Danio rerio: one gene and its partner. The protein of the gene in region 2 interacts with the protein of the main gene of each other region in a biochemical or structural test. Links are inferred from orthologs where the notes say so. Each region holds a gene or a part of one and is shown on either strand. Other genes may lie near its edges.

Region 1 (4,323 bases), on a different chromosome or scaffold from region 2:
ATTTTTATTAAATTACTTGTATAATGAAGACTATGCAATGTTATTTTACATTTGACATTTTACATTTATTTAATTTCTGTACCTGAATACTGTTAGATTCTCTCCAGAAAACATGGTTTAATTTACTTTCATTTTTGCACCATTGTGTTGATATATGAATGTAGTTTGTTTATTATATGTATATAATAAATTACATTTAAAATATATATTTATATTTCACACCCCTACACAATCATCCCAATCACACTAAACTAAAGATTTTGCAGATAGAGCTATAACTGTCATCTGGTGAAATTGAATTTATATCGCAATATACATCGCAGAGAAAAAAATGCAATGTAAAATGTTTCCAAAATCACTCAGGCCTACTATTAACAACTTAAAACAAGGATGTACCTGAAATCAAGCTTTGTTTTGTCAAATTTAACTTGGACATCTTTGCTGTCTTCTATACAAAACTCGATGAAGACAGCTTCCCGTCTGTCATACCACTTGGCAGTAGCTGGCTGCCTGCAAAACAAAAAATGAAAAGCAATGTTTTAGAAAAGGCTTCAGTCTAACTCCACTTTAATATGACATTCAAAAACACAATATCACTTAATTCTAATGGAATCCATGAGGAACTGAGCAACCAGCTAAGTGCATTTGTTAAAAGTCAAACTCCACACTAAAAGTGCAGCTCTAAATTAACATGTGCGGGCAGGAGGTCCTGGCGGGGGTGGAGCAACAATGACGTTACCGTGGCAACCTATTTGTATCAATTGGCAGGATCATGCATGGCTTCTTAACAATCTACCTAAGGCTTAACCCATGTAATACAATTATAGCAAAACCAGGCCTCTGTAATAAAGGGCTGCACAATAACTCCTATTTAAATCTGGAGTTTATTTTTATTGCTGTAGTTATAAGCAGGGTTTCTGTAGGTTTCATTAGGTTAAATGTAAGACTTTTAAAGACCTTTTTATCATGAAGGAAATTTTAGACTTAAAGCTAAATGCTAAGGATTTTTTTTTTTCGAATATCCCAGTTGGAAAATTTTTTCACTTGCCCTCTCAAAAATAATTAGAATTTAATACATTTAATAATACAATAATAATAATAATTTAATAATAACAAATATAGGTCAGGTGGTCAGTATCCTCAGCAGTAAATAAATGGGCGAACTTTTTAAAAACAATTACTGTAAGGAAAGTAATTAAACAATGATGGTAAATTAGTTCAAAATGCAATTTCTAAATGAAAAGTTTTGTTGAGATTGTTGGTGATTGTATGAGTGTTAATGGCCAGATTGGGAAGCTATACATGAACAGAGGAAAATTAAGAATGTTAAAAAAGATTTAAGACATACAACACAATATTTCAGTTGATTTGGGACTATTTGAGGCCTAAATTAAAATTTTTGAGATTTAAGACTTTTTAAGACCTTGTGGATACCCTGTATAGGATACAATAAAACAGTCATTCTAAGTAACTTTTTAATTTTAAGGCTTTAAAAAGTAACTTTATAACTTTGATTCTTGGAATAATTCACCCAAATATTTAGAATTCGCACCATTTTCTCTCCCTTATGTGGTTAAACCTTTAAGTATTTTTCTTTTGTTAAACACAAAAGATGTTTTAAAGAACTATAATTATTAACCTCCATTGTAGGAAAAAAAGCACAAGAAGTCAATGGTTACAGGTTTCCAGCTTTCTTTAAAAAATCTTTTGTGTCTAACAGAAGGAACTCAAATGTCTGAAACAATTAAAGGGTGAGTAAATGAAAATGTTTGCGTGAACTATCCCTTCTAAGATTAATTTTCAGCATCATTACTCCAGGGTTCAGTGTTTTACGTGATCATTCAGAAACCACAAGATGCTGAACATTTATTATTATATTACTATATTATTTATAAAGGAGATTTGGTTCATATTTTTTAATTTTAGCATTTATCATGTCCATACATGCATTTAAAAAGATGGTGTATCATTGATCGCAGCTGAAAACCTTTCAGCCTTGCTCTGCTGGTTTAGCCTGTAGACTGTTAACCAGCATGACCTGAAGGAAAGTACTCAAAACCATCTCACAAACCTGTCGTGTAAAGCTGGGATGACAAACTAAACCCCTTCAGTTGGCCAAATAGCCACCCAACTGATCTCCAGCATGGAAGACCAGCATAAACTGGCATTAATACCTTCTTAAACCCGTTCAAACAGCAAACATGACTTAAGCATGTTCTTTTCCAATAGGGAACACCCAGCCTGCAAGCCTTGATCTGTAAAAGGTTGATTTATATGACACATATATTGCTTGTACATTCTACAATAATGCATATGAAGCATGAATAGATGAACAGAATAGAATCATGCCATAGTAGCTTGCAGTAACCCCAGGCCTAACTATCTAGCTGCTAACCAGCTAGCTAAGCTCTGCTGTGGGGACAATGTGTGCTATTTCCACCACCAATTACCACTAGACGTTTTTCTACACAAATTCTAAGCTTCTTCACGAGGAAGATTCGTATTGTCCTAAATGTTCATACATGATAGTTGGCGTATGAGAGAGAATCTGGTGTTTCGCTGATAAAGGTTATGCACACATTTGCTAACTAGCTAAAGTTAGTGCATCCCTATGACTGCCGGTCAGACTCACATGTCGAATTCTCCTTTCAGTGTTCACCCAAATCTGCGTCTCCTCTCGCGTCCTCTCGCCTGGGGTAGTGTTTTGGATTTGTGCTGTCAGATCACAGTGAAGGCATACAGACGGAAGCTATAGCTGTTTATGCGCCGCTGTCAACCTGCACAAGGAGTGCGCGTGTCTCTACACACTGGCGCGCAGTGACGCATCAGCTCAACGTTTCTAGCGACTTCTGCTGCGCGCCCCCAGCCATGCGCGTTCCCTAAGCAAACACGTCTCCATAGTAACGCAGTGCTCGCTCCCCTGCTCGCTCCGCCTTGACAGTACAGTACAGGACGTCCACTGATGCAGGGCCACACAAATCATACGTCATACTTTTTCTTGAGTCAGAATGAAATTGTTTTGTCAGGATCCTCAGGCGTACTACACTAGGCGAAATGAATGAAGTGCATGTGCATTCACATGTATTTTATAAAAAGCATTTAATTAAATATTAATAAATAAATACAAATATCTGTCAGTCTGATAAAGGCAACACTTAAAGAACTGCAGATAACAAACGAAATAAGGTAATAATACAAATGATACCAATAATATTAATACTTTAGTAGACATTTGTTATATTAATAGTGATGATAATAATAATAATTGTAATAATAAAACAACAAATTATGAAAAATTTGTAATATTAATAATAATAGTAATAATAATTTATCATTATTATTTATTATTATTTATTATTATTATTATTATTATTGGCAGCATGGTGGTACAGTGGGCAGCACAATCGCCTCACAGCAAAAAGGTTGCTGGTTCAAGCCACGGCTGGGTCAGTGGAGTATGTGGAGTTTGCATGTTCTCCCTGTATTCGCATGGGTTTCCTCCGGGAGCCTCAGTTTCCCCCACATGTCCATAGACATGTGATCTTGGCTGAGTAAGCTAAAACTGTCTGTAGTGTATGTGTGTGAATGGGAGTGTATGGATGTTTCCCAGTGATGGGTTGCAGCTGGAAGGGCATCCACTGCTTAAAACATAAGCTGGATAAGTTGACGGTTCATTCCACTGTGGCGACCCCAGATTAATAAAGGGACTGAGCCGAAAAGAAAATGAATGAATGAATGAATGAATGAATGAATTATTATCATTATGATGATGATGATTATTATAATAATAATAATTATTATTATTATTAATAATAATAATAATATTAATAATAATAATAAAATAACCATGACACATTATTTACAATAATAGCAATGCCATAATGACAATAATTATTGCTATAAACAAAACAACAACAATCAACATTATTATTATTATTATTAATACTACTACTACTAATAATAATAATAATATTTATAAAAACTTATAATTTTTGGTTGTTGTCTGCGGATTTTTAACAGTTAAGGTATATAGATGGATGAATGTGCTATTTTTATTATTATAATTATTAATATATTATTATTAATATCTATCTATCTATCTATCTATCTATCTATCTATCTATCTATCTATCTATCTATCTGTCTGTCTGTCTGTCTGTCTGTCTGTCTGTCTGTCTGTCTGTCTAATAAATAGACAACACTTAAAGAACTGCAGAAAACAAATGAAATAAGTAAATAATACAAATTATACTAATAATATGAATACTTTAGTAGAGTTTTGTAACAATAATAGTGATAATAATAATAATAATTTTTACAATA
Region 2 (3,656 bases):
TGGCTGATTTAGAGCCATGACTAACCGGGTTGAAAAAGGTGAAGCATTAATGAGCAGCCACAAACCCGGCAGAGATTAGCCCACATTCACATCTCAGCCGTTACACTTTGAACTGCTATTGATATCCAGTCGGCGTAACACTGGATGAGGACTAACTGAATGACTGTCAACAAGCCAACTGTTACATCAGTGAAACACTTCTACTTAGCAATCAGTTTAGATACTTGACTAAACCAGAACAGGCAGAGAAAGTAGAACATATTGACTGAATCATTCACTCCTTTTCTTTTCGGCTTAGTCCCTTTATTCATGACATGGTGCGTTATCCTGTTGGAATTAGCCATCAAAAGATGGGTATACTGTGGTCATAAAGGGATGGACATGGTCAGCAACAATGCTCAGGTAGGCTGTGGTGTTGACACAATGCTCAATTTGTACTAATGGGCCCAAAGTGTGCCAAGAAAATCTCCCCCACACCATTACACCACCACCAACTGCCTGAACCGGTGATACAAGGCAGGATGGACCCTTGCTTTTATGTTGTTGACACCAAATTCTGACCCGAGCATCCGAATGTGGCAGCAGAAATAGAGACTCATCAGAGCAGGCAACGTTTCTCCAATCTTCTATTGTCCAATTTTGGTGAGCCTGTATGAATTGTATCCTCAGTTTTCTGTTTGTAGCGGATAGGAGTGGCACCCGGTGTGGTCTTCTGCTGCTGTAGCCCATCCGCCTCAAGGTTGGACGTGTTGTGTGTTCAGACATGCTCTTCTGCAGACCTCGGTTGTCACGAGTGGTTTTTTTGAGTTACTGTTGCCTTACTATCAGCTAGAACCAGTCTGGCCATTCTCCTCTGAGATTAAAAAGCCATTTGCCTTTCCCCCCTTTTTTGATGCTCGGTTTGAACTGCAGCAGATTGTCTTGACCATGTCTACCTGCCTAAACTAGTTAACGAGCAGTTGGACAGGTGTACCTAATAAAGTGGCCGGTAAGTGTGTTATTATCATAATTCAAAATAAAAGTGCTTTCCTTTTAAAAATATCTTGCATAATAATTAATTTTTGTGATACAAAGTTTAAAGTTCTCTTCAATTTTAATTTCCTCTTTAATTGTTATAATCGAAACAATGAATTGCCAACTGGCCCAACAGGACTCGAACCAGCAACCTTCTTGCTGTGAGGCGACAGTGTTAACCACTGAGCCACCGTGTATGACAGTGTGTGAATGTAAGAGTGTATGGGTGTTTCCCAGTACTGGCTTGTGACTGTGTAAAACATATGCTGGATAAGTTGCCGGTTCATTCCGCTGTGGCGACCCCTGAAAAATAACTAAGCTGAAGGAAAATGAATGAATAAATAAAATACTATAGAAGTCAAAGGTTGTCTGCACCAATGGCGTAGCAGCACATGGAACTCTGGTGCTCAAAGCGACCAGAGTTCTATTGCTTCCTCGAGGTCCTATAACGATCCTTCCCTTCTCTCTGCTCCACACACTTTCCTGTCTATTCTCTCTACTGTCGTATAAAATTAAAGGTGAAAACCCGGAAAAAACCCAAAAGAAAAAAAAAAAAAAAAAAAAAAAAGAAGTCAATGGTTACCGGTCTTCCAACATTCTTCAAAATATCTTCTTTTTGGTGGAAGAACAGGGAAAAAAAAGGATGACAGATTTTTTTTTTTCAAGTGAACTAATTTTTTTCATCATGCTAAAATGTAGATTTTTTTTTACAGTATTTAATCAGATAAATGGTAATCAATTTTCCAACATTCTTCTAAATATCTTCTTTTGGCAAAAGTAAGAAAGAACCTGGGAAGTGTGAACAAACACAGACAGAATATTAATTTTTCTGAATACCAACTGACTTCTCATGACTTACTGCTTGAGGGTGCTGATTTTGGAGTCCATGGACTCCTGCTTGCCCTTCATGTGCTGGACATCTGAGATCATTTTAGACACGTCGTCCGTGCTGAACTTGTAGTCCTCATGTTTAATATTCGACACCTGCAGATAGACACAATGAAAACGTCAGAGATGGACATGTGTGTGTGTGTGTGTGTGACCCCTTTCTGAACCCTCACATAGTGGAAAGCATGTGCTAATGGTTTGATTTCCGCCCTGAGCTGGACATTTGGACAGAGCGGCAGAGGAAAGGCTATAAATGGGAGAACTGGAAAGTGGTGATGGAGCACCAGAGCGACGCCAGATTAAGTGCCCCAGAACCTCGGTCTCTAATCCACACTCAAGTCTCCAGCTGGCTTCAGCTCCGACCTGCTGATTATCGCAATCTGTCACCGAGCCAAAGGGGGGAAAGAGGGACACCAGGAGTTAAACTGGCCCGAGGAAACCCGGCAGAGCACATGGAAATCATTGATTGCAAAAAAAAAAACTATTATAATAACTTGGGCTGGTTAGACATCATCCCAGCTTTGCAAATTTCTTAAGGGGAAAATCTAAGTTGCAGATCTCTAAACAGAATTCGAGGGGCTTTTAAATGTTTCGGTTAAATCATGCTCTCTATTGATTAAATGTACATCTAACTTTGTAAAGAAAATTATAGATTTAAGCTGTTAATAACCGTGGGAACTTTTCTGTAAAATAAAAGAATATAAATGCCATTAACATGGTTTCAACTGGAAGAAAACATTTTTATTCTGTGTGTACAATTTAATAATTGCGAATATATGTACATATATGTTGTTATAAATTATATAGTATTTATATATTTTTATGTATTATAAGAACATCAAATTTACCTTTCTGAATGTTATGAACTAGGGCTGTCGATTAAATAAAATTGGTCTGTAATTAATCTAATGATTCAGACTATTACTGTGAAAACATGAAATTAAAAAATATTGCATAATATATTAACTCTATACGTTTAAAAGTTATTATTTAGTCATAAAAATATTGAAGAAAACAATATATAATTTTGAAATACCTTATATGTTGTCTCTGGTGGCCTGCTATTTATTTATATTACATTTTATTTGACTAATTTATGCATTTATCTGTGAGTGTTTATATTAAAAATGTTAAAAATGTATAAATACTAACAAAAATGCATCAATAAGTCAAATAAAATGTAATGTAAATAAATAAGTTCAGCAGATAAGTCTTGCAAGGTATTTTAAAATGATCAATTATTTTGTTGAATAATATACCTTATATGATGTCTGTGGTGATCTGTTATTTGTTTATATTAGATTTTAATTGACTTATTTATGTATTTTGTGAGTATTCATTTTAAAATTGTTAAATTAAATATAAATACTTACAAAATTGCATTAATAAGTAAAAAAATGTAAAATAAATAAATGAATAAAAGTTAGGAAATTTTAAAATTATAAATTATTTTGTTAAATAATATACCTCATATGACGTCTCTGGTGACCTGTTATTTGTTTATTTATTTATATTACATTTTATTTTACTTGTGCAGTTTTGTGAGTATTTATTTCAAAATTGTTCAAATAAATATAAATATTCACAAAAATGCACAAATAAGTAAAATTAATTTAATATAAATAAATAAATAAATAAATAAATATAAGGTCACCAGAGAAGTCATATAGGCATTTCAAAATGATAAATTTAGTTTAAAAAAATACTTTAGCCTATGACATCTCTTGTGACCAGTTAAAATGCATAAGTCATAT

The links.
Region 1: the proteins of hsf1 (region 2) and ptges3a form a complex in vitro, tested with the Homo sapiens proteins (2 studies listed by BioGRID). The link is inferred for Danio rerio from reciprocal best matches to the Homo sapiens genes HSF1 and PTGES3.

The regions. Positions count from the first base shown.
Region 1 is NC_133198.1:29,970,369-29,974,691, reverse strand, and holds the start of ptges3a (prostaglandin E synthase 3), read right to left. Parts: upstream 2,805-4,323; 5' UTR 2,635-2,804; coding exon 2,633-2,634; intron 511-2,632; coding exon 397-510; intron 1-396. UniProt on the Homo sapiens protein: Cytosolic prostaglandin synthase that catalyzes the oxidoreduction of prostaglandin endoperoxide H2 (PGH2) to prostaglandin E2 (PGE2).
Region 2 is NC_133194.1:3,478,480-3,482,135, reverse strand, and holds part of hsf1 (heat shock factor protein 1), read right to left. Parts: intron 1,999-3,656; coding exon 1,874-1,998; intron 1-1,873. UniProt on the Homo sapiens protein: Functions as a stress-inducible and DNA-binding transcription factor that plays a central role in the transcriptional activation of the heat shock response (HSR), leading to the expression of a large class of molecular chaperones, heat shock proteins (HSPs), that protect cells from cellular insult damage.